7 linked regions of the Bombyx mori genome follow. The protein of the gene in region 4 purifies or fractionates together with the protein of the main gene of each other region. This does not show direct contact. Links are inferred from orthologs where the notes say so. Each region holds a gene or a part of one and is shown on either strand. Other genes may lie near its edges.

Region 1 (4,185 bases), on a different chromosome or scaffold from region 4:
TGTAAACATATTTTACAAATTAAAGTTATTTGTATTGAGTAGAATTGAATGAATAAATAGAATACAAGCCTACAGTTTTCTTGGTGTGATATTTTATTAGAATACACATAGTGTAGAAGCATTTTTTTTATTACTTAAATTGTATTAATCCACAGGGACACAATGGACAATACAACTACACAAAAGTACTGGCTTGATATACAGCTTCGTTGGGGTGATTACGATTCTCACGACATCGAAAGATATGCTCGTGCTAAATTCTTGGATTACACTACAGACAACATGTCTATATATCCTTCACCTACCGGTTTGCTGATCGCCATTGATTTGGCCTATAACTTGCACAGGTAAGAGAAAGTAATCCTAAAGATTTTAAATTTATATAATATATTAGGAATCACATCAAGAATTCATACAATTGTCTTTTTATAGCCAAGATGCTCTTCATGTCTTACCTGATCTGAATGAATATGTCTCCGAACCTCTTTGAGAAGGCCAGCACAGTCTTTCAAAATGCGGCAGAGCCATATTTCTGAATTATAGTTTGACACAAAATAAATAATGAAAATTTTACCAAATCAATCATTTTCGATAGTAATTTCTAGACAAAATATTTAATACTCATTGAAGTTTACTTGAGAAGTTCTAAAATAGTTTAAATAAGTGTCATTATTGTAGTAAACAAATACAAATTATTGTATTACCTGATGGTATTGAGTTTCAGAATTAGATCAGTTTGTATTTTAGTATAATCAACAAAGTTATAAAAATAACAATTTTTTTACAGTGCATACGGTAACTGGTTCCCCGGTTGCAAACCTCTTATTCAACAAGCGATGGCCAAGATAATGAAAGCTAATCCTGCCTTGTATGTGCTTAGGGAACGTATACGTAAAGCACTGCAATTGTATTCTTCAGAACCTACTGAACCTTACCTCTCCAGTCAGAACTATGGAGAATTGTTCTCTAATCAAATCATTTGGTGCGTATATTTATATATAAAAAATGTATATTTATTTCGACTATCAATTTTGAACAAGATTTTTATGTACATATAACTTTTTTTTTTCGAAACGTAACATAACAAACATTAAATTTATTCTTTTCTGATCACATTAATTTTATTTTATGAACAGGTTCGTTGATGACACGAATGTGTATCGTGTAACAATTCACAAAACCTTTGAAGGAAACTTGACAACTAAACCCATCAATGGAGCCATTTTTATATTCAATCCCCGAACTGGACAGCTATTCCTTAAAATAATTCATACTAGTGTATGGGCAGGGCAGAAACGTCTTGGACAGGTTTGTTTTTTACTTTTGTTAATAGAAAGAAGAGGCTAGAATATGATCCCCATTAAAATCACCTACTAAATTCGAATTAAACTTATATATTTCATTCTAATCATCTATTTTACTTATGATCTTAAATGTGGCTGGTTTTGTGTTTTTTTTTCTTTCTGGAATATGATAATGAGTAGAATATGTATGTTGATTCATTCATTAAATATTCATATGCATGTTGCATTGAAATAATTCATACCAAATATCCTGAAAATTTCGTAAATGTTAGATAACTGCTAGAAAACAAAACTTTGGTTTTTAGCTTGCTAAATGGAAGACTGCAGAAGAAGTAGCTGCCTTAATTCGATCACTGCCAGTTGAAGAACAACCAAAACAAATTATTGTTACCAGAAAAGGAATGTTGGATCCACTTGAGGTAAATAAGATAATATCTGAAGTTTGTTTTATTAATCAAAATATCATACTAACTTTAATAAATATCAAATAAACTCATTCATACAATACAAATATGTAAAATATACTGTGAAAAACTTTAAACAATCCATTAAACATCCACAGGTCCATTTACTCGACTTTCCTAACATTGTAATCAAGGGTTCCGAACTGCAGCTGCCATTCCAGGCTTGTTTGAAAGTGGAAAAGTTTGGTGACCTCATATTGAAGGCAACTGAGCCTCAAATGGTCTTGTTCAACTTATATGATGACTGGCTAAAGACTATATCTTCATATACTGTAAGTTATGTTTCTTCAAAAGATAAATAAATACATTTCAATATTTTATAATGAACATATCTTATAATCAAAATGATGAATTGCGTAGGGGTCCTGAAACCAGAGAGTCCCTGTGCTCTGGGGGCTAACAGTGACTATGGACTTGCTGATCGCAATGTACTGTAGCTCTGTCTGTCTGAAAATACGCTAACTGATTTAAACAATATACACTGAATAAAAGTGAAAATAATAATTGAAGAAAAATTGTTAAATATTATAATTTGTTAACACCTAGGCCTTCAGTCGGCTTATCCTGATACTCCGTGCTTTGCACGTGAACACAGAACGCACAAAGGTCCTCTTGAAACCTGATAAAACCACTTTCACGGAACCTCACCACATTTGGCCCACTTTAACTGATGATGATTGGATCAAAGTTGAGGTTCAACTGAAGGACCTAATATTAGCTGATTATGGAAAGAAGAACAAGTGAGTTTTCAATAATAATATAAATCTCTTTATTGTACATAAATACTACTACAAATTCGTAAAATAAATGATCAGATAAATGCCCATTAAGTGTTTTTGAAAATTTAAAACAATATATTAATTTTTTTAATTACTATTTTATCTTGTAACCAGGAGCCTTAATACTTTAGCAGTATTCATAACTACATTAAAATACATTAACTTTTAACACGATTTTACTAACAGTGTAAATGTGGCGTCGCTCACACAATCGGAAATCCGTGACATCATTCTTGGTATGGAGATATCTGCACCCTCTGCACAGCGTCAACAAATTGCCGAGATCGAAAAGCAGAGTAAAGAACAGAGTCAACTTACCGCGACCACAACGCGTACTGTAAACAAACATGGAGATGAAATTATAACCTCAACGACGAGCAATTATGAGTCGCAGACGTTTAGGTGAGACTTTTTAGGAATTCTTTCTTTCACATTACTTTTATGGCTATGATTATATGATCTTCCACTAATTGTATGGGGCATGTTTTAATTTGGATGGTTTTTCGCAGCTCTAAGACTGAATGGCGTGTCCGTGCGATATCAGCCACCAATTTACATCTTCGTACAAATCATATTTACGTGAGTTCCGATGACATCAAGGAAAGCGGATACACCTACATTCTGCCGAAGAACCTACTTAAGAAATTCGTTACCATTTCCGATTTAAGGGCACAGGTAACTTATAAATTTTACCTTATGAGCTACCAGTGAAACCAGGCCACACTGTTGTGATTATCCCTAAATATGTAAAATATATGGGATATTTCAATTCTTTTCAATAATTTGTTTTAAAATCAACATTATTAAAGAATGTACAGCCATCACATGGTCATGTGTCCACTAACGACACTGATCCCCTTCAAGGAGACTATGTTACTTATCTACAAATGATGGCAACAAAAAATACAAGACATCTCGGCTGTCCAATTTCAAAACCTAGTATCTGACAAATTTAAAAAAAAGTGTGTTTTTGCATTTTTCGACCTTGTAGACCATTCTCCACATATTAGGATAGCAAAAACCCCCAAAAATTTGTAAAAAACGAAGTTACACAAAGTCGGAAACCTAGTATCTACAGTAAAGGTTTTCAAAATGCAAAAATTACAAGATTAGAACATAGTATATAACATCAACCATTTTAAAAACCTAATAAGTGCTTGTAGTTACTTGGATTTAAAATGGTTCATGCAGATACTAAGGCAATGAAATGGTTGAAATAAACGTCAAAACTCCCGCGAAACTTTAGTAAGTGAGAAAATCGTTGCACGTTGTTCGTGTTTTTGTCTATAAAATGAGTAAAAATCAGTTTTATAGGTCGAAATTGATCTTGAATGCTTTAAAAGAACAACATGGTGAAATGTAAGTACGCTTCAGTGTGTTTTATTATTGTCAAGGTTTTTTGTTTTCCAAAATTGCAACCTACTACGACACATAAAGTAAATGAAGGTGCAAATATTCCAGAGGATGTTAAAACTGCATACGGGGATCACAAAGCTAGAGCAAGTAAAGCAATACAAAAGTATCAAGAAGATGCCTCCCTAGAAAATACTTCCTCTGTGAGATACTATTCGATGGATTTACAAAAAGTTATGTTGTTACCCGACATGCCTAAAGTCAAAGAATCGTTTTTCTTGAGTA
Region 2 (3,621 bases), on a different chromosome or scaffold from region 4:
CTTTTTCCTTTTATTTTGAATAATATTTGTTGATTTGAACAAGCACTAGTTTACTTCTCATTGATTTGATGTTAAAAAGTTCAAAATTAATAAATCATCAAAAATAATCAAAATTCAACAACGATGACACTGATGACATATTAAGTGTATAATCTATGCTGATGACAGTGAAAGCGGAGTAGTTTTTTTAAAGGGATTTTATGACCTCGTAACTAAGACCTTTAAGTCAAGTCTTATTTTAATTTATATTCTTATTTTTATGAAAATGATAACATCGAGTGAAATAAAATGAAATGAAGATTATTAATTTGAGACATTAATCAACTGGGATGAAATTAAATGAAATGAAATGAGATGATATAGGATGAAATATAATCTCAGAAAAGTGGTTGTCATTTACTAACATTTTTTTCAGTGGACTTTATGGAGGATCCCGAGAAGTTATGTCCAGCGGCTTTGTTTCATTTTCCCACATTTGTGCACTTTCACAGATATTAAACAGCTAATAAACCACCGTTATTACACATTTAAACCTGAAGAAACACTAAAAAGACAAAATAAAACAAATCACACAGCTTCACTCCTCGCTTTCCCGCCAAAAAGTCAACATAATAGCAAATAAAAAATAAGACAGATTAGTAAAAACAGACAGTATTATCTAATAGGTTGGGGAAAAAGTATTATCGCATTATAGCATGTATGAATAAGCAGGCAAAGAGCGTGGCTTATACACGCTAGTCTGTCGTAGTTATATTTTTTTTATGTCATTAAAAAGCCGGTGTATCTCTTTTTATTGCTTTTTGGAAGTTTTGACGTCAACTCGATGAATAGCACATTGAGTGAGCGTGAATTTCCGCAGACCTTTTATCTTGAAAAAAAGACAGTTATGTTAGCCACAGTTTTATTCCAATGTCCCAACCATCGTGAACAACGATTATTGACATTTAATACACAAAACAACACCCATTTATATATTATACATCACAATAAACTATTAAAAAAACATTAAAATAAAACTTCAAGTGACGCTTAACTCGGGTTGCTGCCAAAACTCTGATCATTTAAAATAAGAATAGAGTAATGGTAGGCCATTGAGATTTTTACTAATGGAATCATTAACATCTAAAAATATTAAATAATTCATGGTTTTAAGTAATAATTATTATTACAATATATAAATATAGAATTGAACAAAAATAAACTTAAAAGTCTGTGAATTATAACCATTAGCAATTTTTTTTAATTTATTGTTCAAGTCACAGACAACTCTTTCGTTTGGCAGTATATACTTTACTAAAAGGTTTACTATAAGGCTGTATGGGCTAAACCCTTTGCCTATTGACGAATTTAAAAACCATGGCACTTAGTTTTGGGATGTTATCAAATAAGTAATTTATTTTTTTGTAAAACAATGCCAGGGTGAAAGAAATGTTGATACATAAACTAAACAACGTGAAAAAATAAGACATAGTTTTTCAAGTACAAATAGTTTTGACATAAAGTTGGCCCACTTTTGGGCATTGTCCTTTCTATAGTAATGGGATCATGTCTCTACCTACAAGATGGCAAAAAGTTATCGAACAAAATGGTACTTGCATACTTTAGTTAAATGTAAATAAACTATTTTCCTATATTAAAAAATGTTGTGAATTTTCTTACAAAATGCGAAGAAACTTTTCTCCCAACCTATTATGTTACAAATACTAAATAGCTTGTGCTATATATATAATATCTAAGATTTGGCTTTATGGTGTAACACTTTTGCCTTTCCAGTTGGAAAAATAAAACTACAAACTACTACTATTATGCTCTACATAAATAATTATTACTAGAGATTTATTGTTATGACAATGGAAAAAATCAACATTAATTTAAAAAATAAATTCAACGAAAGTGAAGTGAATCCTGTAACTGATATCATTGACTACCTAGTAAGAAGTGCAAATATATCCTTTAAGAATTCCCATGCTAATGAACAACCGGTAAGGACATGTGAGAAACTGCAAATGGCCCTTGAAATTTATAAAAGATCACCTGTAGAATTCCTCATGCAATTCGGAAAATATTTAGCTCCTAATCACATAAAATACTTTGAAAATATCTCTAGCTCCAAAGATCAAACATTTAGGAATTACGTGCACTATTTGAGTGACTATCATTCGGAAACAAGCAGACGCAAGAGGATAAAGAACAGAAGATATAAGGCATTACAAAAAATGAAGATTAAAACTGATTATTTTAGTGAAAAACAAATGATGTACAGAAATCCTCTTTTATATGAACAGTTGGTTGGGCAATATTTAACAGATGAAGAAATAAAAGAAAGAGATCGAATAACTGAAAACGCCAGTTTTCTTAACTTAATATTGGAAACTGTAGATCACAACCACATGAGAGAGGTGAAGAATGTGCAAATGCTCGAAGAAGGTATTCATGAAACACCAGAAGCTTCTGAATTTTCTTTGAATGATAGTACTAATGAAAACATAAATTTTCAACACAAAAGAAAATGGGGTGAATTCACTACCCCAGATACGAAACCTGACTATATTCCAGAAAACAGAAAACACAGAGTTATTAGTGCTCCAGAAAAGAAGTTATTGTATGATGAGTTCCTTCAAGAAATGTATAGCAGCTTTATAGATGGTAATGATATTGACATTGATTATAAAACTATTGATAATGATGAGCAGTATGATGATTTAGAGCAGGAGTCACAAGATGCAGAAGATAAATATTTTGATTCTGAAACAAATGATGTTGAGAACTTAGAAGAACACATGCACCTTGTAGAGGAATATGGTCAAAGTAAAATAAATAATCTTGAAAAAGATGACCCTCTTGATGTGTTTATGGAGCATATATCTAAGAAGTTTCAACTGAATTAAATGATTGTTTACTAATATGAAAAGTTCAATAATATTAAAGTAATTATAATCTTTAGGTTAATTTCCCAACCAATGTCTTTTCTTTTCTCATAAACCATCAACATTATTATCAGTTAAAGTTTCTGTCTAAGTTCAACTAGTAAAAAATGAGATGAGAGATTATTTCATAAGATGCAAAACACTGCTCATCCACACTATTTTCACATACTTTTTTGTTGTGTACCATCCAATTTTGGACTCTTCTGAGCACTATAACATATATTTCTTTAAATGAGGTTTGAAAAGAATCCTCAGCAGTAGGTAGTGACCAAGCGATGTACCTTTGAAGTCACAAGCATTAGAATGAAAAAAATAATTCGCAATAAAAAGTGATAGTATTAAAATACAGAAAAAAATCAGATCGGTCTGTCTTTAATTTTGAATAAAGACTATTTTTTATATTACTTTGTTATTTGTACTGAACAAAAATTTTTATTTTCATTGCAGTAAGCTTAGGTAAGAGTTTTTGGTTGACAGCAACTTGCCTGCGTAAAATAGCAGAAGCACATAGGAATGGCTAGTACTTATGATCAACAAGATAGGTTAGGAATATTTATTGTGTTCATGTGAAGCAGGGCACCTAGTGTTGAGTGGTTACTGGAATCCAAAGATGTTACAACGGGAATGCCACTACCCACCTTTACAATTTCATTGACAATAGTGTGTCATCCACAGAAATGAATTAAATTAACGT
Region 3 (3,679 bases), on a different chromosome or scaffold from region 4:
CTACCTATTCGCTGGTAGCCTAAGAAGCTATTTCAGATACGCCCGGACGAGCAGGCGAGCTCACGAGCTCAAGCTAAGAGAATTTGCTAACACTAGCCCTAGCAAGAGCAGTGCTTCGCAGAATCTACCATCGGTGTGCTTAGTGCGAGTTTTGCAACGTTCTCGATAGCGTAAAAGTTAACTCAAATTTGTATGCAGCTGGAACAGCAGCCCTAACGGCAAAGGAAGGCAAACGATCCCATTCCATACAAATATGACCTAACTTAGGCAAACGTTTTCAACCGCATACGTACCTACAAATTTGAGTTTACTTTACTTTATCGAGAACGTTAAAAAACTCGCACTAAGCACATGGGTTGGAATCGCGACCCACTGTGAAGACCCAACGAGAAACTCGGTGATCTCCGTCTATGGGTGAATTTGCTAGTGATCGACGAGTTCGATAAGGAGGGTAGCCGGTGATTGAGAGGCCTAAAGCACGGAGAGTGAATCCGGGGGATCTCACAAGACATGTTTCGAGCGACGGTGGCTTTGCGTTGCCGCGTCGCGTTCGGATAAGAGAACATCTCCTAATGGTTCAGCTGCTGTGGAGACTTACCGGCTCGAACGCACTGACAAACAGACAAAAATCGATTTTAAGAGTTCCTTAAACAATAAAATATACTGAAATCGCTTTCATTTATTTTCCTTTTCTTTAATACGGTAATGAAATAAAGAAATTTAATTGAATATGAAGTTCGTTAACATAAAATAAGCATGGCATATACAAAATTGCTGATTATATGATCATGACTTTGTATTTTAAAATTTCCTTAAGCGCCTTATTCACGATCCATCTTGCTGTACGTCCCGCCAAGGCCATGCACGATGCACGATGCATTTAGCGCTTTATTCACGATCCGTCACGGCTGTACGTCAGCTCAAGACCGCAGTGCTGGATGTATCAAGCGCGAACAGAATAAATCGAACGAATTAAATGAGGGTTTTAAGTTAAAATGCCAGCTGCTTTATCAAAACGCCAAAAATGGGAGTCCTTCTGATGTTGTCAGCAGCAGCAGAAGAGAGGCAAAAAATAGCAAGAGGTTTTGGATGATTTTTTTAAACGTGCAGAGTATACTCAAATAATTAATATCATTTTTTACGCACGCTATCAATCCTTGCAGCTTCCCCTAAAATGGGCCTAAAAATTGTAATACGTTTATTATTTTTGGTTTATTCATATAGTCTGCGCTTGAGACATTCCACAAAAATGTGGAACTTATAACTTTCAATAAATCTTGAAAGGGTTTCACGATCCATTTTGACGTGCAGTCTCCTTTCGAAACTCTTCGTTAACTTTAATTTCAGTATTACCACCGTCTTTTTACGATTTCATCAATGTCAGTGTCGAGTTAAAAACTGACATTTAGTGGCCATAATTGTTTGTTGAAATAATACTTTTTGGCGGGAACGCGAGGAGTGAAGTTGTGTGATTTGTTTTATTTTGTCTATTTATTTAGTGTTTCTTCAGGTTGAAATGTGTAATAACGGTGGTTTATTAACTGTGTATTATCTGTGAAAGTGTACAAATGTGGGAAAATGAAACAAAGCCGCTGGATGTAACTTCTCGGGATCCTCCAAAAAGTCCACTGAAAAGATCTCAGTAAATGACCACCATTTTACTGAGATTATATTATATTTCATCCCATATCATCTCATTTCATTTTATTTCATCCCAGTCGATTAATGTCCCAAATTAATCATTTTCATTTCACTCCATATTATCATTTTTCATAAAATTAAGAATATAAATTAAAATAAGACATGACTTACAAGTCTTAGTTACCAGGTCACAAAATTCCTTACAAAAAATTGTTGAATTAAAAAGCAGAGTCACCATAGACAAAATAAAGCGTCGACTTAGCGTGTGTACGATAGTTTTGCTGTAATTGTAATCTTTTTCACTCAATTTCTCAGTTCACAAGCCCATAAAATAATACAAAATGTAAGTATTAATATGATTTACGTAGTTTTAACAATATATTTAACATATTATCTGCTTAGCCGGTAATGGTCAACAATAACTCTAATGTTAACCTTATTATAGGACGTCAACAACTAAGCCACGCTCTGAAATGACCCTAGAAGAGCTATCTAAAATCGAAGAGGAAGAGTTTAGTACCGGACCTCTTTCCGTGCTCACGCAGTCAGTAAAGAACAACACACAAGTTCTGATAAATTGCCGTAACAATAAGAAACTCCTGGGTAGAGTGAAGGCTTTCGACCGGCATTGTAACATGGTATTGGAGAATGTTAAGGAAATGTGGACTGAGGTACCGAGAACTGGCAAAGGAAAGAAGGTAAACAGATGTTACTGTATTTCAGTTCAATTGATTCAGAAATTTGAGGTTATGTATTGGAAATAGGAACCACTCCCAAGCGCTCATGTATAAAAGTGCTACAGCTCCAACTTGAAAAGTACACAATAAGACATGATGTCGCGTATTTTAGGCCAATATTAGCGGAGATAAAATACAAACCACTGGAAATTCCCAAGATGACAATTATGTGGATATGAAACATTCTGTGTTAGCTCATTTCATTAAAACTCTTCAAATTCAAAATACGTATAACTTCTGGTTTTATTTTCAGGGCAAAGCTGTAAACAAGGACAAATTCATCTCCAAAATGTTCCTCCGCGGTGATTCTGTGATCTTAGTACTAAGGAATCCTCTTGCTACAGCTGCAGGGAAGTAATGCAGTAATTAGTTTAAGTATTAATGAATAAAATATTCAGGAAATGAATAGCTTTACTGGTTCATTCCTTAAACTGTAATAATACTTTTACAAAATTGGAAACTGTGTTAGTTCTATGATTCTGCAACTATATGTAATAAATAAACAAACTCGATATTTTAATATATTGAAATTGTATCAAGTTCACATATTGTAAGATAAAGCTAAAAACGATCAGTTATTATAATGATGCATTAAAAGAGTCTCACCAGTATTGTTGTTAATATTAGCATAAAATAACTTCATATTAGTGGCTGAACATACCAAAATTGAAAAAAAGATACTTACTTTTGGTGCAAGTAGTAACTAACAATTTTGTAAAATATAGATGCTTTAACATTTTTAAAGAAACATGGCAAAATTACAATGGTCAAGAAGTCCACAAACCTGTCAATAAGTTTATAATTTCTATAATAAACCAAAGTGTAAAAGTGTGTTTTTAATATGATTTTTTTCATAGCCCCTTATTAATTTGTGCAAATTAGATCTGATGTACATCATGGGATTAAGCTGTGCAGTCCAGTCCAATATTTTGTTAACATGTTGGTTTCATGACAGACACTATGAGTCCACAGCATACTTTCCCCTAGGGTAAAAAAATGTAGTGTTTTTTCAAAAATATTCTCAAGAAATTACTCAAAAGTAATGAGTGAGGTATGGAAACAGTGACTAAGTATTGTTTTCTGAGATATTTCAAATGGCAGACAGTGTCGTCATAGACCTAAGTAAATGGTTGTTACAGGGTGTCCACCATTCCACTGGACTAAACATGATTTCTAGTCTGGTGTTCAATGTGGTAATAAAATTAGAACTGAATATATGCAAAGGTCTTCACAATAAGGGAAGAACTTCATGGAACTTTCAAAAATGAAACTATAATAAAATTACTGTTATTACTGTCTGT
Region 4 (4,185 bases):
TTAACCAGATCTGAGAGCCCTTACTACTATGAAAACATAATTTTGAAAATGATCATATTTTAAGTTGGTTTTTTTTTTTGCAGATACTTGGGGTCAAGACCTGTGAAGTTATTTAAAGTAAGGGTACAAGCTGCTGAAGCAGTACTAGCTGTGTCGTCTAGAACATGGCTAGGATATCACTATCAAAATCGTTTTCACCTTACACCTCTATCTTATGAATGTTTGGAATATGCAGCAGGATTTAGTTCAGGTAAGAAATAAAAATTACTGTTTAAAATATCGACGTGTTTGCCTGGCCTTACCTTTGCAGGTGAAGCCAAGCAAGAGTGGTGTGTAGCTGTCTCATACAGTGATGAGCCCACAACGTCGTAGAGCATGTCGCCTTCCCCTTGTGGTAGAGGGTGGCACTCGGCATATTCCATAGCCAAGCTGGAGTCACTTCGACTGTGAAGGCGGCAAAACCATGCCGTGGACATATAAATATTAAATAAGTAAATATTATATTTTAATAAATAAAATTTAAATTAAAAACAAACTGCATTTGTGTTTCAGAACAATGTACTGAAGGCATTGTAGCCATATCTTCCAACACTCTGAGAATTTTGGCTTTAGAAAAATTGGGAGCTGTATTCAATCAAACATTTGTCCCTTTAGAATACACACCAAGAAAGTTTATAATAAATTCTGACAACAATCACATTATAGTTTTAGAAACTGATCACAATGCCTACACAGAGGAAATGAAAAAACACAGAAGGTATTTTTTTCTTGACAGATTTTAATTTTAATTTACACTTGACAATTTAAATGATGAAACAAAGACACACAAACCTGAAATTAATGTGGAAATCTCCTGCAGTACTGAATTAACTATTAATTATAAAAAATAAATAAGACTTTATTTGGTTATATATTATAATACATTTAATATATTGTAGAATTCAAATGGCCCAAGAAATGCGTGAAGCTGCTGCTGGAGGTGCTCCTGAAGAACAGCAACTAGCAAATGAAATGGCAGATGCTTTTCTATCTGATACTTTGCCTGAATACATTTTTTCTTCACCTAAAGCTGGAGCAGGTAACTTTCTTTTGTTTCTCTGATATATTATGGTTAAATTTACACTACACAATAAACAAACCAGAAAATAATTATCTTGCTAAATTATGCATTAAAAATTTGGCCCTTGCAAGTTTTTTATACAAAGAACCATGCATGCTTTCATATATAGCCACATTCTCTGGGCAAGAGTAGTCTACATAAAAGTAGTCTGTCTCTAATCGGATGTGGCTACATAAAATTCCCTACATTAATCCCAAATGATCTAACATTAATCATTTGATTCAAGTATGGGAAACATTAAGAAAATAATAATTGATCATTGTTAAAATGATTAAAAGGTTAACCACAAAATAGTAAAAAAAAACATTATTTCAGGCATGTGGGCATCTCTAATTCGTGTTGTTGACATGGGTATTGGTGGGGGTCAACCCAATACATTATTTAGACTTCCACTGGAGCAAAACGAAGCAGCTGTTTCTTTGTGCATAGTAAGATGGGCTGCACATGCTGAACATGCACAACCACATCTTGTGGTTGGTGTTGCAAAGGATTTGATACTGTCTCCTCGTTCTTGCACTGAAGGCAGTCTACATGTTTATAAGGTAACTTAAAAACGAATAATGAAATTTACACAATACAAAAGATTTTCCAATGATGTAAAATTATATCGCTCCGTGTTTCATCTGAAGATTTTTGACGAACACTTAACCAGATCTGAGGTTATAGAAAAAAATTAAAAGCTAGCTATCATATATTACAAAATGTAAACCTTTGAATTCTGTTTTTCAGATATATGGCAACACTGGAAAATTAGAACTTGTTCACAAAACTCCAGTAGATGAATATCCTGGTGCTATAGCAGCATTTAATGGTAGACTACTAGCTGGTGTTGGACGCATGTTAAGATTATATGATATTGGACGACGAAAACTCCTACGTAAATGTGAAAATAGACATATTCCAAATTTAATAGCAGATATAAAAACGATTGGACAGAGAATTTTTGTTTCTGATGTCCAAGAATCTGTATTTTGTGTCAAGCATAAGAAAAGAGAGAATCAATTAATTATTTTTGCTGATGATACCAATCCTAGATGGATAACAAATAGCTGTATTCTTGATTATGACACTATAGCAGTATCTGACAAATTTGGTAATGTGGCTATAATGCGGTTACCACAATCTGTAAGTGATGATGTTGATGAAGATCCTACTGGAAACAAAGCACTTTGGGACAGAGGTTAGTTCTGTGAATTAATATGCAGACTATTTAACTTTTTTTAATGCCAAAGCTAACATTTAATGTAAAAACTACACCTATTTACTCATTGATGCTAGGAAAATCCACCATTTATCTTGAAGTTGTGGATGTCTCGATCAATGGTTTTCTTACCAGAATACATCATTCCTATAATATGCAAGATAGTATTCTTATTCTACCTTACTTCCATTTAATGGAAGTAAGGTAGAATAAGAAGTATTCTGAAGTAAATTCTGGCCATAAAATATATTCTAATTTCAAATGATGATACAGAAATATTCACATGCTAGACTAATGAATTTTTATGATTCTACTTAAAATCTGAGTACATTTTAAAGTTCTTTATTCATAAATAAAATTAATTTAGAAGTAATGTTTAGATAAACTTTATTGGTTTCAGGTTTACTTAATGGTGCTTCACAAAAGGGAGATGTTGTGGTCAATTTTCATGTTGGTGAAACTGTAACCTCTCTACAGAGAGCAACATTAATTCCTGGTGGTTCTGAAGCACTACTATATGCAACAATTAGTGGGTCTCTTGGCGTTCTACTACCGTTTACATCAAGAGAAGATCATGACTTCTTTCAACATCTAGAGATGCATATGAGAAGTGAAAATTCACCATTATGTGGGCGTGACCATTTATCTTTTAGAAGTTATTACTACCCAGTAAAGGTATGTACTCACTTGTTGCATTATTGGAAAATATTGACGTTTTTATAAATTTAGTAAATTTTAAATTACATTCCGACAGTCAGTCAGCAGATGTCTTCATTCTGAAGACATTTGTGTTACACTGTTGGTATAGCAAGGCTGACGAGTTATGCACGACGTGCGATCTGCCGTTATGGTGACGCCGCCTTGCGATCGGATGCTGCATTCTTGAGAGTCGGGTTCGCTGTTATCAGCTTATCTGTAGTTTTTAGAATGAACAGTTCAACTTTATCTAATACTAGCGACCCGCCCTCGCTTCGCTTCGGAAACATTAAAACACACATGAAACCAAAAAAATAAAAAAAATAAAAATTAAAAAAGTAGCCTATGTTCATCAGGGACAATGTCGGCTTCTAATGGAAAAAGATTTTTTCAAATCGGTCCAGTAGTTTCGGAGCCTATTCGAAACAAACAAACAAACAAATCTTTCCTCTTTATAATATTAGTATAGATTCAGATTAGAAAGGAAAACAAACCCACGCATAAGATATTTCGCATAACAGGTGGTAGGACCTCTTGTGAGTCCGCACGGGTAGGTACCACCACCTTGCCTTATTCCTGCCGTGAAGCAGTAATGCGTTTCGGTTTGAAGGGTGGGGCAGCCGTTGCAACTATACTGAGACCTTAGAACTCATAAATCAGTGGGTGGCGGCATTCACGTTGTAATGTCTGGGCTCCAGTAACCACTTAATACTACGTGGGCTGTGAGCTCGACCACCCATCTAAGCACAATTTTTTATTCTTGCCCTGGAAAGGAATAAGCTCAAAAATAAACTGTTTCAACACTTTATTACTGCATTCATTTACTTACAGTCCAATTTCTGATATGCCAATTAAAAATCGCGATATTTGTTTTGTTGCAGAATGTGATTGACGGAGATCTATGTGAACAGTTTAACTCCCTAGACCCTGGAAAACAAAAAGCCATCGCAGGTGATTTGGAACGTACTCCCGCTGAAGTATCAAAAAAACTTGAAGACATTCGAACTAGATATGCGTTCTAATTAATTATAAATTAGTTAATAAGTTTTTCTATTAATATAAAAATAAAATATTGCGATAAGGTTCAACACAAGCATTTCATTACTAAAACCTTTTTTGTCCAGAAAGTATCGACTTTTATGGTCTGGTGTAAACCAAAACGGAAAAA
Region 5 (4,890 bases), on a different chromosome or scaffold from region 4:
CGTAATGAAAGATGCGTTGTCTAAATTTGTGATAGCTGAACTAACGCGTACTGTAAATTCAATCGGGACCATTCGTGCATTGAAAAATATATTAATAGGGTTTGTCCAGATACCCGAATCACGTGGTGACAGACTACGGGAAAGCTTTTACGAGTAGGTACTTTAAAAAAATATATCAGAAGATAAACAGTTTAGGCATACGTTAAACGGTATTGCTTGTCCGCGCGCTAATTGAACAAACTAAACATACAATTTTATGTGTTGCGGGCAACTGATCCTAGTGAAGCTTCAAATAATTTAGCGAACTCCGTCAATTGAGGCACAAACAACACAATTAAAAGTAACAGCGGCTACAAGCCTTGCGATTTAATCTTTGTGCGCTCTGGTAGGTCAATATGTGATGTTTCGATTCCTGGTCTCGAACCAGAAACTGTTGACGCACGGCGTAAGATAGCTGCAGCTAGGATAAAACAAGCGAGTACAATAATGACACACAACATTAATATAAAAAAAAAAGCTCATGTTTATAAGAAAAGGCATTTTGTATCTTAGAGACAGGCGCCAACTGGTTAGTAGCGCCGCTAGGATTAATACCAAATTAGACGATTTGTCCTCAGGTCCGTATGTAGTAACTAAAGTAGTAGGTAACAATTGTTATCGAATTAGAAGTATATCTAAAAGGTTTACGAAGTTATAAAAACTTCACTGGCCTGGTATCAACAGATTCATTAAAGCCCTATAAAAGTATAGCCCATGTGTCCGATAGCGCTAGTAGTTCCGATGAGCAGCTCGAAACTGAAGACCTTATTGATTTATTTGAGAACTAAATGTTTTTGTGTGTTCCCCATTGCGGGAGCAATTGTTGCAGGATGGCCGAATGTAACGGACGTGACGTCAGCTGTCATGCCCTGCCGCCAGCCAAGCCGCCAAGCCATATTAACACGCCCCTTCCGCCACAGCCACCGCCACCGCCGCCAGCCAAAGCCAACGAAGGGGGGATAGTGTTAATAAAACAAGCCGTGCCAGCCATTTCTAACTACTTTTCTGCATTCTTGCACAAATAAAAGAACTTGTCGTTACGCTGCTGGTTTTTATTGTCACATCAATTGCAACACGTTATATGGAATTATAGGCGTCAAAATACTTAACTATAACTTAATTTTTAATACATTTTATTATTTAGAATAAGTCTATCTACAAAATGTATATTTTCTGGCAATCAGTCCATGATCTCAGCAATATATGCCAGTGTCTTGCAATATATCTTTTTAACGTTTTATTACTCAATAAAACGTTCGTGTAGTCCTTTTTTGGCAGGCACGCGAAAAGCAAAGCTGTGGCAATTGTTTTATTTTGTTAATGTCGGGTTTCTTCAGGTTTAAACGTGTAATAGCGGTGGTTTATTATTTGCTTAGTGCATAAATGTTAGAAAATGAAACAAAACCGAAAAGCTGCTGGACGTTACTGAACAAGGCTTTTGGGTTCTTCCAAAAAGTCTACTGCAGTCTTATAAAATAGCCACCATTTTATTGAGAACTTATTCACATTATCTAGTTTCACTTAATATCATCCCAATTGATTACGATTTCAAATAAATCAACTTCATTTCATTTCATTCAAATCATTTTTCACTACATAATATTCACTTTCATTTAAATGGGAAATATATTATGTAAAAATTACGCTGTATTGTGTGATACCCTCGCTGTTCATGTTGGAAAAATGGAAAACTAATACTGTCAAATAAGCTAGTGTCAAATTGAGTTTCACTTTGACATTTGTACAAACAATTCGTGATTATGTTTGGCGCTTGTTAATTTGTGTTGTGAATTAAAAGCATTACAGTATTGCATGGGAGTTAGTCTTAATCAAGATGCCTGCGTTTCTTAAATATATCGATATGGAAAATTTCAAGACCTATAGAGGACATCACCGCATAGGTCCTCTGAAGTCTTTTACCGCTGTTGTTGGCCCTAATGGATCAGGTACTAATGACCTAAGAAAACCTTACATTTTTCCCATAGTCTATCTTTTAACCGTTTCTTAATATTATTATTTTCATGCTATAGAGCGAACACCGATTTCATTTTCAACAAAAATTGAAATACATTAAGGCGTCGTGTTCAAAACGTTTCCCTCGCTTTTCCAACAAACAGAAGTTGCTTTATGAATAGTAGTATTGTCACCAATTAAAAGAACAAGTTTCCTGCTTTGCTAAAAACAATTACGAGGGAACTTCTTTGTTAATACTGCTTTTTTGTGAAATTGTAAAAAAAAATCCATTAGACCACTGTTATAACAAATAACTTAAAATTTACATTTCTTAAAAGGAAAGTCCAACTTCATGGACGCTGTGAGCTTTGTGATGGGTGAGAAGACATCATTGTTGCGTGTGAAGAGGTTGAGTGACTTGATCCATGGTGCTTCAATCAACAAACCTGTTTCTCGAAGGTGAATTCTTCTTTCCACTTGATAACAAGATCATTGTATATTTTTTTCAAAATGTTCAAAAGTTATATTTTTTAGAATAATTATTTTAAACCAAACTTGTGCTGTAGACTTCTGTGTTGTATGAACAATTATAAGATAGAATTTTTTTAATTTAATAATTTTCAATTAATAAATCACAATTTATAGAAAGACTACCCAACTACTCTGAATAATAATTGATTTCTCAATATAGGTTACTTTTTCTTTTTTCATTGCTTAGGTGGGTGGACGAGCACACGGCCCACCTGGTGTGAAGTGGTTACCAGAGCCCATAGACATGTACAGCGTAAATGCTGCCACCCACCTTGAGATATCAGTTCCAAGGTCTCAGTATAGTTAAAAATGTTAATGTCTTGATCCATTTAACCATGAATTTATTCCAGTGCATCTGTTACGGCAACGTTTGTTCTGGAAGACATGACTGAGAAACATTTCCAGAGATCAGTGATTGGACAATCGTCTGAACATAAAATTGATGGCCAGGTAAAAGATTGTGATTTTTGTAACAAGTTCCTGTTTTATGTTAAGTTGAATAACAAGGATTACTGGTGATCTACCCCATAGAATGCAGGTGAAGGGTGGGCCACCATGTATTAGGCTTCTCATTGCTTATTTTTGCCACGAAGCAGCCATGCTCTCTCATTTGAAAGGGGGACAGCCCTATAATATGACTTTAATTTTATGTTTTTTTTTTTATTGCTTAGATGGATGGACGAGCTGACAGCCCACCTGGTGTTAAGTGGTTACTGGAGCCCATAGACATCCACAACGTAAATGCGCCACCCACCTTGGTAGTTACAACAGTTGCCCCACACTTCAAACCGAAACGCATTACTGCTTCACGGCAGAAATAGGCAGGGTGATGGTACCCACCCGCGCGGACTCACAAGTGGTCCTACCACCAGTAGAAATGAAAACCAGTAGAATGTCTCAAGTGATTAAAGCAATGGTAAACCAGAATGGTTGTGATGAATATGATTTCTAGATACTTCACACTAGATAAGCCCTGAGCCTGTGCCTTAGCCTTATTTAACCTAAAAAAAAAGATGATGAAACTAATCTGAAGTGAAGCTCTCTTTGTAATATGAAATCATAGGTTATGGACATCACCTGATTGGCTTTTTATTGCAAAGCAACTTCATGTTCAGGCATACCAGCACTCCCATATGTACAGTATATTCACATCTGATCAGATGTGCTATGTGTATGAAATAAATGAATCCTTTTTTTAACAGTCTGTATCAGTAAGTAACTATCTTGGTGAACTAGAGAAATTGGGCATCAATGTGAAAGCCAAGAACTTCCTAGTCTTCCAGGGTGCCGTCGAGAGCATTGCCATGAAGAATCCTAAAGAAAGGACTACTCTGTTTGAGGAGATCAGCGGGTAACATATTTTTCTAAGTGTTGTCACCATCATGATCATAATTTATATCACAAACTTCGTTAGTCTTTTACAATAGATAAAAGATTACCTAAAAGACATGTTTTAATCAAAGTTTCAATACAAACTTATTTGCTCCCTCACTCAAATCAAACAATACAATTAGAGGAAATAAAAAATTGCATACTACCATCCACTGGTACCACCCGACCATACAGTAAATTCTGCATCCTCTACACTAGTAGCAGTATATGTTTTATTTAATTACATATAATATTTAATATGTAGGTCTGGAGTGTTAAAGGAACAGTATGAAGCTTGCCGTGCTGAAGTAAACCGAGCTGATGAGGAGGCTCAATTCTCCTATCAGAAAAAGAAGGGAGTGGCAGCTGAGAGGAAAGAAGCAAAGTTTGAGAAGGAAGAAGCGGAGAAATACACAAGACTTAAGCAAGAATTGGTGAGAATTAAACTATTAAACTACATATTACAAAAATGTGGAAGCATTGCAATCATGTTTGTGAGTATATTTTAATGAAAACAGCAATGAATTAAACTATAATTATACCAACCTCGAGATCACACGCGTTTCGATTATTTTTAGTGTTTTTCCCGTTTTTTCTGTGTTTTTAAGAATTGTGTTGCCCTATTTTTGTTGGTGGTGGATTAGTTTAAGTTTCATTTAACTGGTAAGTGTATTTTTTATGTCAATGTCGTCCTCGGTGGGCGAAAATGTCCCGCCGGACAGAGGGAGGTCTTCTTTAGATTCAGAGATGGACGATCTTTCTCTAATACTTAATTCTCCTGTAAAAGCTTCACAAAAACGCCCTGCGGAAGACGTATTAAGCGTCCCAGAAAAAAGATCAGCTCCACATTTACCGGCAGCTGCCTCTAATCAACATACCTACACCCGGCCAGGTTTTGATAACAATTCAGTTCTTAATTACTCTGAAACTGACTCTGGCCCTTTTGTTGTCCATGTATCTCGTTCAGATGGTGACTTTGCCCCAGTTTCGAACCAC
Region 6 (3,469 bases), on a different chromosome or scaffold from region 4:
ATCAGCGATACTGTGAAAAATTTGGGTATCTTAATTGATAAAAACCTTTCATGGAACGCACAAATAAAAGAGGTTAGCCGGAAGGTGTTTGCATCAGCTGGATCGTTGAGACGGTTACGAAATTTTCTTCCAACTGCCACTAAAACTGCGCTTGCACAGTCTTTACTTCTTCCAATTCTTGACTACGCTGATTCCAGCTATCCGGATCTAACCGAAACACAACTTGATAAACTTGAGCGGCTACAAAATTTCTGCATAAGATTCATATTTGGGTTACGGAAATATGATCATATATCTGAATTTCGCACTAAGCTCAAGTGGTTACCAATTCGCCTTCGCCGCAATACTCATGTCCTTTCATTACTATACTGTACTCTCTTTAACCCCCATACCCCTACATATCTCAAAGAACGTTTCGAGTTCCTAGGTGATACGCATAATTTTTCTCTGAGATCATCAGATAACCTGAGACTGAAAATGCCGGTGCATTCATCATCATTCTTTGACAATTCATTCACCGTCCAGGCGGTTCGATTGTGGAATGCTCTGCCGGATGCAGTGAGAAGTGCTCCAACTTTAAACTGTTTTAAAAGAATGGTGAAGGAACACTACATAACTGCTTAGTGCTGTTTGTTGCATCATTATCATTTATAATTTCCATACTGTTGATTTAATAAGTGTGTGTAAATATATTAGTATGTATTGTATGTAAGTATGTATATTGGTATATATTATATTATGTAAACGGTATATATCTGTTTATTATATGTATATATTTTCTATAATAATGTATTGTATATGGTACACCGCACCTGCTATATTTTTTATATTTTACAGAATTTCTGTAAATTAAACGGTTGTCTGGAAGAGATCGCTTTTAGCGATAAGACCGCCTATTGTACATATGTGCTTTTTGACTGTTTGTTTTTTTAAAATGTAAATTGTGTTGGTGTGCAATAAAGTGTATTCTCTCTCTCTCTCTCTCTAAATAAGTCCACTGACGACAGGATATCAAGCGGTTAATGAAGCTCCTCTACTCACAGGGCATTCCTTTAACACCGTAGGTCTTAGGTCAAAGTCCCTGTAGAACTGGAGTAATCTCCTGTGATACTTTTCAAAACATATTTTATGAGTGATTTGATGCAGAAATGGACAGGAAATAGTCGTATATAACCATACAGATGCATAACACAACACACAATAGATTTACGTTGATAGCACTAAAGAAAATTCCCCCATTTGTCGTAGTCGAAGTTTGTCGAGTCGAATACTCAATTCTATTGTATAAAATCAGAATGTATAATTATCTGATGTTTAGATTCAGATACCATTGGTAGTTTCTACTTGTGAGAGCTCACAGCAATAAAGCATATTTATTTTATTTTCTTTTATCACAGTATGTTAATAGTGAATTGTGAAATTTGCTTGTGAGCATAGGCTCTATGTAATTATACTTAGACAAATTGCTAGAATTTTTTTAGTTGTAAACTTGTAAAGCTATGAAAACTCATTTTATGAAATACACTATTATTGAACCCTCTCTATTGATAAAGCACATGATGTACCTTCTATCAAGTGAAACATTCAAATTGGTCTTTGAATACTGCAGACACTTACTACTTTTTGTAAGGAAATACATATTTCATACTTGTTAATGAAATAAATTCAATGATGAAAGAATAACATTTTATATAAAAAGGAAACCTGCAAAATTTATAAATATTCATAATTACTGGTGGAATTGTAAGCCTTAACAGGCAGAAAGCATCCTGCATATTTTTCTGAACAGATTGTACTTTGAATGGTAAAATTGCTAGTTTTAACAACTAACTTTTCAAGCTTATGTCTGGTGTGTAGCAGCATTCAGATTGTTGACTTTGGGCTGTGTTAACCATTTTCCACCAGGTGGATTCTGAGCTCATTTTAAAATCTAAGCAATAGATAATGAGATTTAAAATATTTAGTTGTGAAAGACTGGAACTCTTTTATCAATAATTTCTATTAAATGACCAAAAATATCATAGTAAAATTTGTCTGGCTATTTAAATTAAGAATAAGTAAGTCATAGTAATGAAGTGTGATTATGTTAATTAATGATATGATTTCTTTCTACTTGTTTGGTGTAGTACTTGTGGTACTTTCTACTACCTTATTTGGTGTATGTGTGTCAAATTTGAGCATTTGGTCATAAAATTGACATTTGATTTACTTTATATTAACCTAATAAGAAAAATATTTTTAAAGCAATCATTTGATTTTCAATTTCAGAGGGAACACTCCAGAAACAAGAGGCACAGCATTTGTTGTTTATGAAGATATATTTGATGCAAAAAATGCCTGTGACCATCTATCTGGTTTTAATGTTTGTAACAGGTATCTGGTTGTACTCTACTATAGATCCAACAAAGCCTTTAAAGGTATTGATATTGATAAGAAACAAGAAGAAATTGATACATTGAAAAAGAAATATGGAATATCTAGTGAAGATCTGCGTAAATGATAAACTATAAAATATAAGTTTTTTTTAAGTACAATTGTTTTTAATTATTTGATTTGTATAGCTGTGTAGATTTTAAGCCAGAGAACCTATAAAAATCTTATCATTAAATAATAATGTACCAACGCGCTTTCGTAATGTCTTCCATGATAAAAACCATAATTTTTTGATTTAGCTTTTAATTCTAATCGAAGTAAATCCTGTAGAATTTATTAACTTGCGTATTATTGGTTGGACAGGTTGAAAGACCAGGTACTGGTACTTGGTCTCAACCTGTCCTTTCTGCGCGAGAGTCACGTTCTTCCTTACACTAGGCATCATCCTCAGAGGGATGATATTCAGTCTCTACATTAAGTCAATACGCGACTAGGCTGCGTTCTTACACGGTCGATTCTACCCCATGATCTGTAACGAAGTAAATTGTCCTATCGTAACAAGGATACACTATGCGACTTACATCACGCGGCTTGCTTGTATATAAACCCTCCAGGTCATCCAATCCCATTACTGCAGGATAGCTATCGCAGCGTCATGGTACGTGAGGAATCTCGACCTTCACGACGATCTAAATTTAGAATCGGTACGTAAGTAGTAAAGCAGCGTCAGAATGCTACTTCGACAAAGCGGCACGATACAATAACCCTATTATCGTGGTCGCCGCGCATTACATATGTACCGACCCAGGTCGACGGAGCAAAGCAAATCCGTCGTCGTCCGAAACATTTCTTGTCGGATCCTTCGGATCTACTTTCGGTGCTTTTAGGCACTTGAAGCACCGGTCACCGTCCTCGTCCAAGTCGTCGATTACAACGAGTGAACTAACCAAAAGACAGCCCATCGAGTTTTTCGCCTGATCTTCTCAGTGAATAGATTCCATGAAGCACTGCCCTTGTTAGGGCTGTTGGCAAATTCTCTCAAGTTAGGCCCGTAATCTCACCGTCCGCGCGAAGCGGGAATAGCCCCTTAGGCTAT
Region 7 (4,780 bases), on a different chromosome or scaffold from region 4:
AAAAAGAGTTCCATTAAAATTGTAAACTATAATTTTCAAAAAGAAAGAAGTCTATGAAAGAAATCATTTTTGTTGTTTCATTTATATGACTTGTACTTATGTTCCATGCAGTAACAATTAAAAAAAAGCTTAAATAAATGTGAATAGTTTATCAGGAAGTTATTCTTATTTCTATTTTATTTATTTATTTTTATTACATTATGAAGAATAATGTGTTATGAAAAACGAAATGCTTTATACACTGCTAAAACTAATATGAAATCTGAATTGTTACTTTACTTATTGGAACTGAGGTACCAATATGAAGATTTAATTTTATATTCTTGTTCTGATTTTGAACATTTTTAGATGAAGTTTAAGTGTGCATTTCATGTATTAGTGCTTGTGTGTGTGACATGTACAAAATGTTACTTACTTTATATCTTCAAGGATATCTTCATACTCCTCTTCATCACGCAATTCATCAGGTGTTACCATGTTAAGAAGGCACAATACTTCAGTAGGTGGACCTGCTCCAGCCAAGGTCAAACCTGCCACTTGGATTTGCACTGGAGCTGCACCGGTCAGTGCTGAAAAGTATCCCATTTCTATTTAAAATCTTTTATAATTTCTATTCTAAAACTAAAACATAGGTCATATTCTGTATTAAAATTTACCTAAAGTTGAATTCTTTGCGCCTATACTGGCACGTTGCACAATCAACTTTTTATCTCCAAGTTGCATTCCATTTAAACCTGCAATAGCCTGTGAAAATAAAATTAATTTATGATTTAAAGTTTTTTTAAAAATTAAATTGGCCTTAACTATGCAAAAGCCAATAAATTAATAAATTGGGTGACATAATGATTATTTACCTGATCTGTCATAGAAATGTCGACATATTCAGCAAAAGCATAGCCTTTGCTCAACCCAGTTGAAGAGTCTTTCACCAAATTGAAGGCCCGGAGTTGACCAAATGACATGAGTAATTCCTTTACCTGTTTCATGACAAAATTAGTGAGCAAATAATAATCTTTTAATTCCCAGCATTGTATTAATTTACGTTACATATTCATAATGATCAGCATAGACATTTCTAATGCTAATGTTTTTTGTATTGTATGTTTGAATTGTTGTGTTCCCATTAAATCTGTTCATCAAAATGCAGCAAATTACATAAGTGAATTATGCTATCTGACCTGTGTCTAGCCGCATGTTAGAATCAGATGTGAATGGAAGAGACTTGCCTTGAAGTGCCGATGTCTCGTTCAAGTACAAGACGTATAGATGAGAATGAGAGACAACAGTGACACGCGGGCCGCGAATGTGCCAAATCTAAGCTAGGGAGGGCAGAAAGCAAACTATATCAGTGAGTTGTTTGAGAACATCCGAGCGTGGTACGCACACGCTCGTCCACGCTACGGGTACCTGAAAATACCTGAAACGGACCAAAACATAACGCGGCTCACTGCTGGCGTCACCGGGGCCTAAGTCCTGTCAACTGTTGAATCTCGGCCTGAAATTGTTGCGGCATCTAGTACGCTATAACTACCTACTGGGAACGAACAAACTCATGGTTCTTTTAATGTCCTAACATTACCTAAAGTAGGATTTTGAAATAACTATTATAGTCCAAAATACTTGAATTTGTCGATCTAAGAGAATTCTATGTTTATCATAACCAACATAATTATTATTTCCATTTTGTCTGGTCAAAACCTGTAACACACAACTCTACAAATCACAATGAGAGAAGAATGTTGTATAATATAACCATTTTTTTATTATCAAAAGGTTTCTTTTAGTGGGAAACATAAATCAACCATAATTTATGTGAATTGAGTTTTCATTTGGTTTAAAAATAAAAACTTTTTGGTAAGTAGTACTTATAAATAATAGCTTAATTTGATCACATCAAAAATACAGAAAATAAGTACCTCTACTTTAATCCAAAAACCATGTGTAGCTTTAAAAAACTCCAAACTTGATTTTGATCATGATGTGATTAAATTATGGTTTCTTGAATGCTTAATTTCAACTATAAATTTTAATAGATAAAACAAGGAACTTACTTGGTCCTCATTTAGATAATTAGGCAATCCCCCTATAAAGATCTTGTGTGGGGAATCAGGTACAACAGTGCTAATAACACCAGCTGTAACAAAATAATATTTGAATGAAGACACTAGTAATGAGTATTTTAGTTGTAATTAATGCTGTTTCAAGAGTTTAAAAAGAGCTGTAGAATTATAACAACAAAATTCAGTTTATTTTAAATATTGCATTTTCTTAATAAAAAATAGCACTTTCAATCGAGTTCAAGACTCATTACTTGATAGATAAATCTATAGTATCTTCTAATGTAGTTTAAATGTATTTTTATAAGAAAAGTTGTTTGTAATAACAATATCACAATATCATAATTACTTACCAGGCACATTTATTGCTGGGTTTTCAGTGCCTGGCATAGGCTGGTAGTCATGTGGACGTCGAATCTTTAAGCTTTGCCCTTTAAAATTAATACCGTCAAAAGCCATTGCCTGTGTCGTTTCATCAATTGATCTGAATTCAAGGAATGCAAAATTTTTATCTAAATTAATCTGGCAAGCCAAAACAGGGTTGCCGGCGGCCTGGGCCAGGCCCGATAGATGCATTTGTTGATTGAAAAACTCCATTGTTTCTTCTTCGGTGACGCCAAAGGGTATGTTGCCGACATATAACCTTCGCGCTTGACGTGTTATAGTCGAACCCACCACCGGCACGGCAGCTTGTGGTGTGTCGGCGACAATATTGGCAGGAATCTGACCCGCCGCTTGCATCGCCTTGTATTGTAATGGCGTGATATGCTCGAATCCCGGCGGCGGTACATCCCAGTAAAGCGAAGGCTTACGTCTACGTGAACGTTTATTGGGCGATCTTGATCTGCTTTTTCTTTTTTCTCTTCGTTCTCTAGATCGAGATCTAGAACGTTTTCTTTCTCGGGATCGAGACCTTCGTCGGCGGTCTGTAATATTTGTGAGCATTTTATTTTATAACCTCACTTCAAAACTTTACAAGATAGATATGTGAACTACTTACCTTTATCTTCCCCCATCTTATTTACGGAAATATGTAATACAGTAACTATTTCTTGAGATAGTAATAAAGGCGCTTCAGCGTTATTAGTATAATTAGCGTTGGCATCAACATAAAATCTAAGTCAGTTTCCGTGAAATGGCGTCTGTTATTTTTTTATACGGACGTTGGTTACTCGACTTTTGGCTAATGATGCTATAGTGAATTTCCTGATACGTAATCATCACTAAAATCCTATGCTTGCCCTAGGACAAATTTCGGACGCGAACGCAGAACTGGTGTTTCCTCAAGTATAAATGTGTAATAATGATAGCTAATTAATCATTGATGTGCCTTTGGAAAACATACAGCATTGTATTATGAAGAAGCAGTGTGTACTTAGCTTAGATTCCTTGTCTATGTCCAACCATAGACAGTCAATTTAGTTCCATCTTTAGCCGCTAGGTGCTGCCAGCAAGTATAAAGGGAGCGCAGCCATCTTTGATCTTCATAGCGTTGTGTACTTTCGTACTGTGAAGTCGCAAGTCCACAAATATTTATTCGACTTCTTATTAATTGCAAAAAATATTTATTTTGTGTTTCTATGAGTGTTATTTTGCAATCATTACGAGTATTATTTACCAATCCTATCATCGGACGCCATGAATCACGCGTCATCTGTTGGAGGTGATGTTGAGTCAAGCTCCATAATTTCCGAGAGGGAAGATGTCCAGGCGAGACGCGATGGAGACGCCTCGCGTTCGAACAGCTCGTCAAGCGAAAAAGAACAAAAGGAGTCTCTGCGTAAGAAACGACGGGATTCAAAGGTAACGGTCGATCTTCGAATCGGCTCGTTATCCCACCAGGTCAGTGACGTTGTAAATCTAATAATGCATCAACTGTGTGTAACAATTGAATGTAACGAAAATTGTTGTAAACAAATTGATCTCGTCAATACGGAAATTTTGACAAAAACACAACAGATTTAAACTAATAATCTTTGTAACATAATTACTGAAAACTTTGACAAATCGTCTCCGTCGTACAAGTTACCCGTAAAAAGCGTTTTAAATTGTATACGGAAAAAAGGGCCGTATGTATAGAAATAAGACGTCAAAGTTTAATTTCCGTGGTCTCTAACAAAGTATCCTGTTGCCAACGCGCCACTCATTGAGGAATTTTTGTTTGATAATAGTAAATTGAAATCTATTCAGTCCCTCGGAGGGCTACAATCCTATTTGTCACGATCTCGTACAAAAGGTAAGCCAAACATTATAAACAATCATAGTCCGTAACATCTGGCACAATCCAGAGGGGGGCAATTGAAGACACCGACGGCACTGAGGCACTGAGTGCCACCAAAATTGTAATAATTTGTAAACCATGTATGGTTACCAAATACCGTAAAAAAAAAAAAAAAAACAACAAAAAAAAAAAAAAAAAAAAAAAAAAAACTACCTTTTTCTGCGGAAGAAAAGCGACGGATCAATGCGTCCAATTTTCGATCTTCGAGAGTTGAACAAGGTCGTAAAGATAAAACACCTGTTTTCGGACACCTAGGTACCAAACTTTCTCCACCCAGGGGACTGGATGATAGAATTGAACATTTCTCAGGAATATTTTTCTAGTATCAGTCGCAAAATTTCGTCGATACTTCTTGAGGATCAGTACCAAGGTACCAGTTCAGTACCTCCAGGAAGGAATCGGTACCTTCTTATGAGTTAGTATGAAATGACATGCCTACCCT

The links.
Region 1: the proteins of splicing factor 3B subunit 3 (region 4) and pre-mRNA-processing-splicing factor 8 fractionate together in Homo sapiens (co-fractionation; 4 studies listed by BioGRID, with this or other methods). This does not show direct contact. The link is inferred for Bombyx mori from reciprocal best matches to the Homo sapiens genes SF3B3 and PRPF8.
Region 2: the proteins of splicing factor 3B subunit 3 (region 4) and coiled-coil domain-containing protein 97 purify together in Homo sapiens (affinity purification with mass spectrometry; 3 studies listed by BioGRID and IntAct, counting the BioPlex papers as one, with this or other methods). This does not show direct contact. The link is inferred for Bombyx mori from reciprocal best matches to the Homo sapiens genes SF3B3 and CCDC97.
Region 3: the proteins of splicing factor 3B subunit 3 (region 4) and small nuclear ribonucleoprotein sm d2 fractionate together in Homo sapiens (co-fractionation; 4 studies listed by BioGRID and IntAct, with this or other methods). This does not show direct contact. The link is inferred for Bombyx mori from reciprocal best matches to the Homo sapiens genes SF3B3 and SNRPD2.
Region 5: the proteins of splicing factor 3B subunit 3 (region 4) and structural maintenance of chromosomes protein 1A fractionate together in Homo sapiens (co-fractionation; 3 studies listed by BioGRID, with this or other methods). This does not show direct contact. The link is inferred for Bombyx mori from reciprocal best matches to the Homo sapiens genes SF3B3 and SMC1A.
Region 6: the proteins of splicing factor 3B subunit 3 (region 4) and 14 kDa subunit splicing factor 3b fractionate together in Homo sapiens (co-fractionation; 5 studies listed by BioGRID and IntAct, with this or other methods). This does not show direct contact. The link is inferred for Bombyx mori from reciprocal best matches to the Homo sapiens genes SF3B3 and SF3B6.
Region 7: the proteins of splicing factor 3B subunit 3 (region 4) and U2 small nuclear ribonucleoprotein auxiliary factor 2 purify together in Homo sapiens (affinity purification with mass spectrometry; 4 studies listed by BioGRID and IntAct, with this or other methods). This does not show direct contact. The link is inferred for Bombyx mori from reciprocal best matches to the Homo sapiens genes SF3B3 and U2AF2.

The regions. Positions count from the first base shown.
Region 1 is NC_085114.1:12,602,846-12,607,030, forward strand, and holds part of pre-mRNA-processing-splicing factor 8, read left to right. Parts: intron 1-155; coding exon 156-347; intron 348-787; coding exon 788-982; intron 983-1,136; coding exon 1,137-1,308; intron 1,309-1,609; coding exon 1,610-1,723; intron 1,724-1,866; coding exon 1,867-2,040; intron 2,041-2,314; coding exon 2,315-2,508; intron 2,509-2,733; coding exon 2,734-2,949; intron 2,950-3,056; coding exon 3,057-3,222; intron 3,223-4,185. UniProt on the Homo sapiens protein: Plays a role in pre-mRNA splicing as core component of precatalytic, catalytic and postcatalytic spliceosomal complexes, both of the predominant U2-type spliceosome and the minor U12-type spliceosome.
Region 2 is NC_085118.1:10,065,566-10,069,186, forward strand, and holds coiled-coil domain-containing protein 97, read left to right. Parts: upstream 1-1,762; 5' UTR 1,763-1,844; coding exon 1,845-2,888; 3' UTR 2,889-2,957; downstream 2,958-3,621. UniProt on the Homo sapiens protein: May play a role pre-mRNA splicing through the association with the splicing factor SF3B complex which is involved in branch-site recognition.
Region 3 is NC_085132.1:3,761,906-3,765,584, reverse strand, and holds small nuclear ribonucleoprotein sm d2, read left to right. Parts: upstream 1-1,906; 5' UTR 1,907-1,982; coding exon 1,983-1,984; intron 1,985-2,086; coding exon 2,087-2,339; intron 2,340-2,631; coding exon 2,632-2,736; 3' UTR 2,737-2,987; downstream 2,988-3,679. UniProt on the Homo sapiens protein: Plays a role in pre-mRNA splicing as a core component of the spliceosomal U1, U2, U4 and U5 small nuclear ribonucleoproteins (snRNPs), the building blocks of the spliceosome.
Region 4 is NC_085117.1:14,808,075-14,812,259, reverse strand, and holds the end of splicing factor 3B subunit 3, read left to right. Parts: intron 1-83; coding exon 84-250; intron 251-552; coding exon 553-757; intron 758-938; coding exon 939-1,078; intron 1,079-1,435; coding exon 1,436-1,662; intron 1,663-1,849; coding exon 1,850-2,300; intron 2,301-2,721; coding exon 2,722-2,996; intron 2,997-3,898; coding exon 3,899-4,039; 3' UTR 4,040-4,110; downstream 4,111-4,185. UniProt on the Homo sapiens protein: Component of the 17S U2 SnRNP complex of the spliceosome, a large ribonucleoprotein complex that removes introns from transcribed pre-mRNAs.
Region 5 is NC_085114.1:15,703,635-15,708,524, reverse strand, and holds the start of structural maintenance of chromosomes protein 1A, read left to right. Parts: upstream 1-1,740; 5' UTR 1,741-1,873; coding exon 1,874-1,985; intron 1,986-2,330; coding exon 2,331-2,451; intron 2,452-2,873; coding exon 2,874-2,973; intron 2,974-3,725; coding exon 3,726-3,874; intron 3,875-4,159; coding exon 4,160-4,328; intron 4,329-4,890. UniProt on the Homo sapiens protein: Involved in chromosome cohesion during cell cycle and in DNA repair. Central component of cohesin complex. The cohesin complex is required for the cohesion of sister chromatids after DNA replication.
Region 6 is NC_085111.1:9,664,610-9,668,078, reverse strand, and holds the end of 14 kDa subunit splicing factor 3b, read left to right. Parts: intron 1-2,268; coding exon 2,269-2,500; 3' UTR 2,501-2,709; downstream 2,710-3,469.
Region 7 is NC_085123.1:10,727,389-10,732,168, reverse strand, and holds the start of U2 small nuclear ribonucleoprotein auxiliary factor 2, read right to left. Parts: upstream 3,199-4,780; 5' UTR 3,074-3,198; coding exon 3,058-3,073; intron 2,984-3,057; coding exon 2,411-2,983; intron 2,135-2,410; coding exon 2,052-2,134; intron 978-2,051; coding exon 855-977; intron 745-854; coding exon 657-744; intron 570-656; coding exon 416-569; intron 1-415. UniProt on the Homo sapiens protein: Plays a role in pre-mRNA splicing and 3'-end processing. By recruiting PRPF19 and the PRP19C/Prp19 complex/NTC/Nineteen complex to the RNA polymerase II C-terminal domain (CTD), and thereby pre-mRNA, may couple transcription to splicing.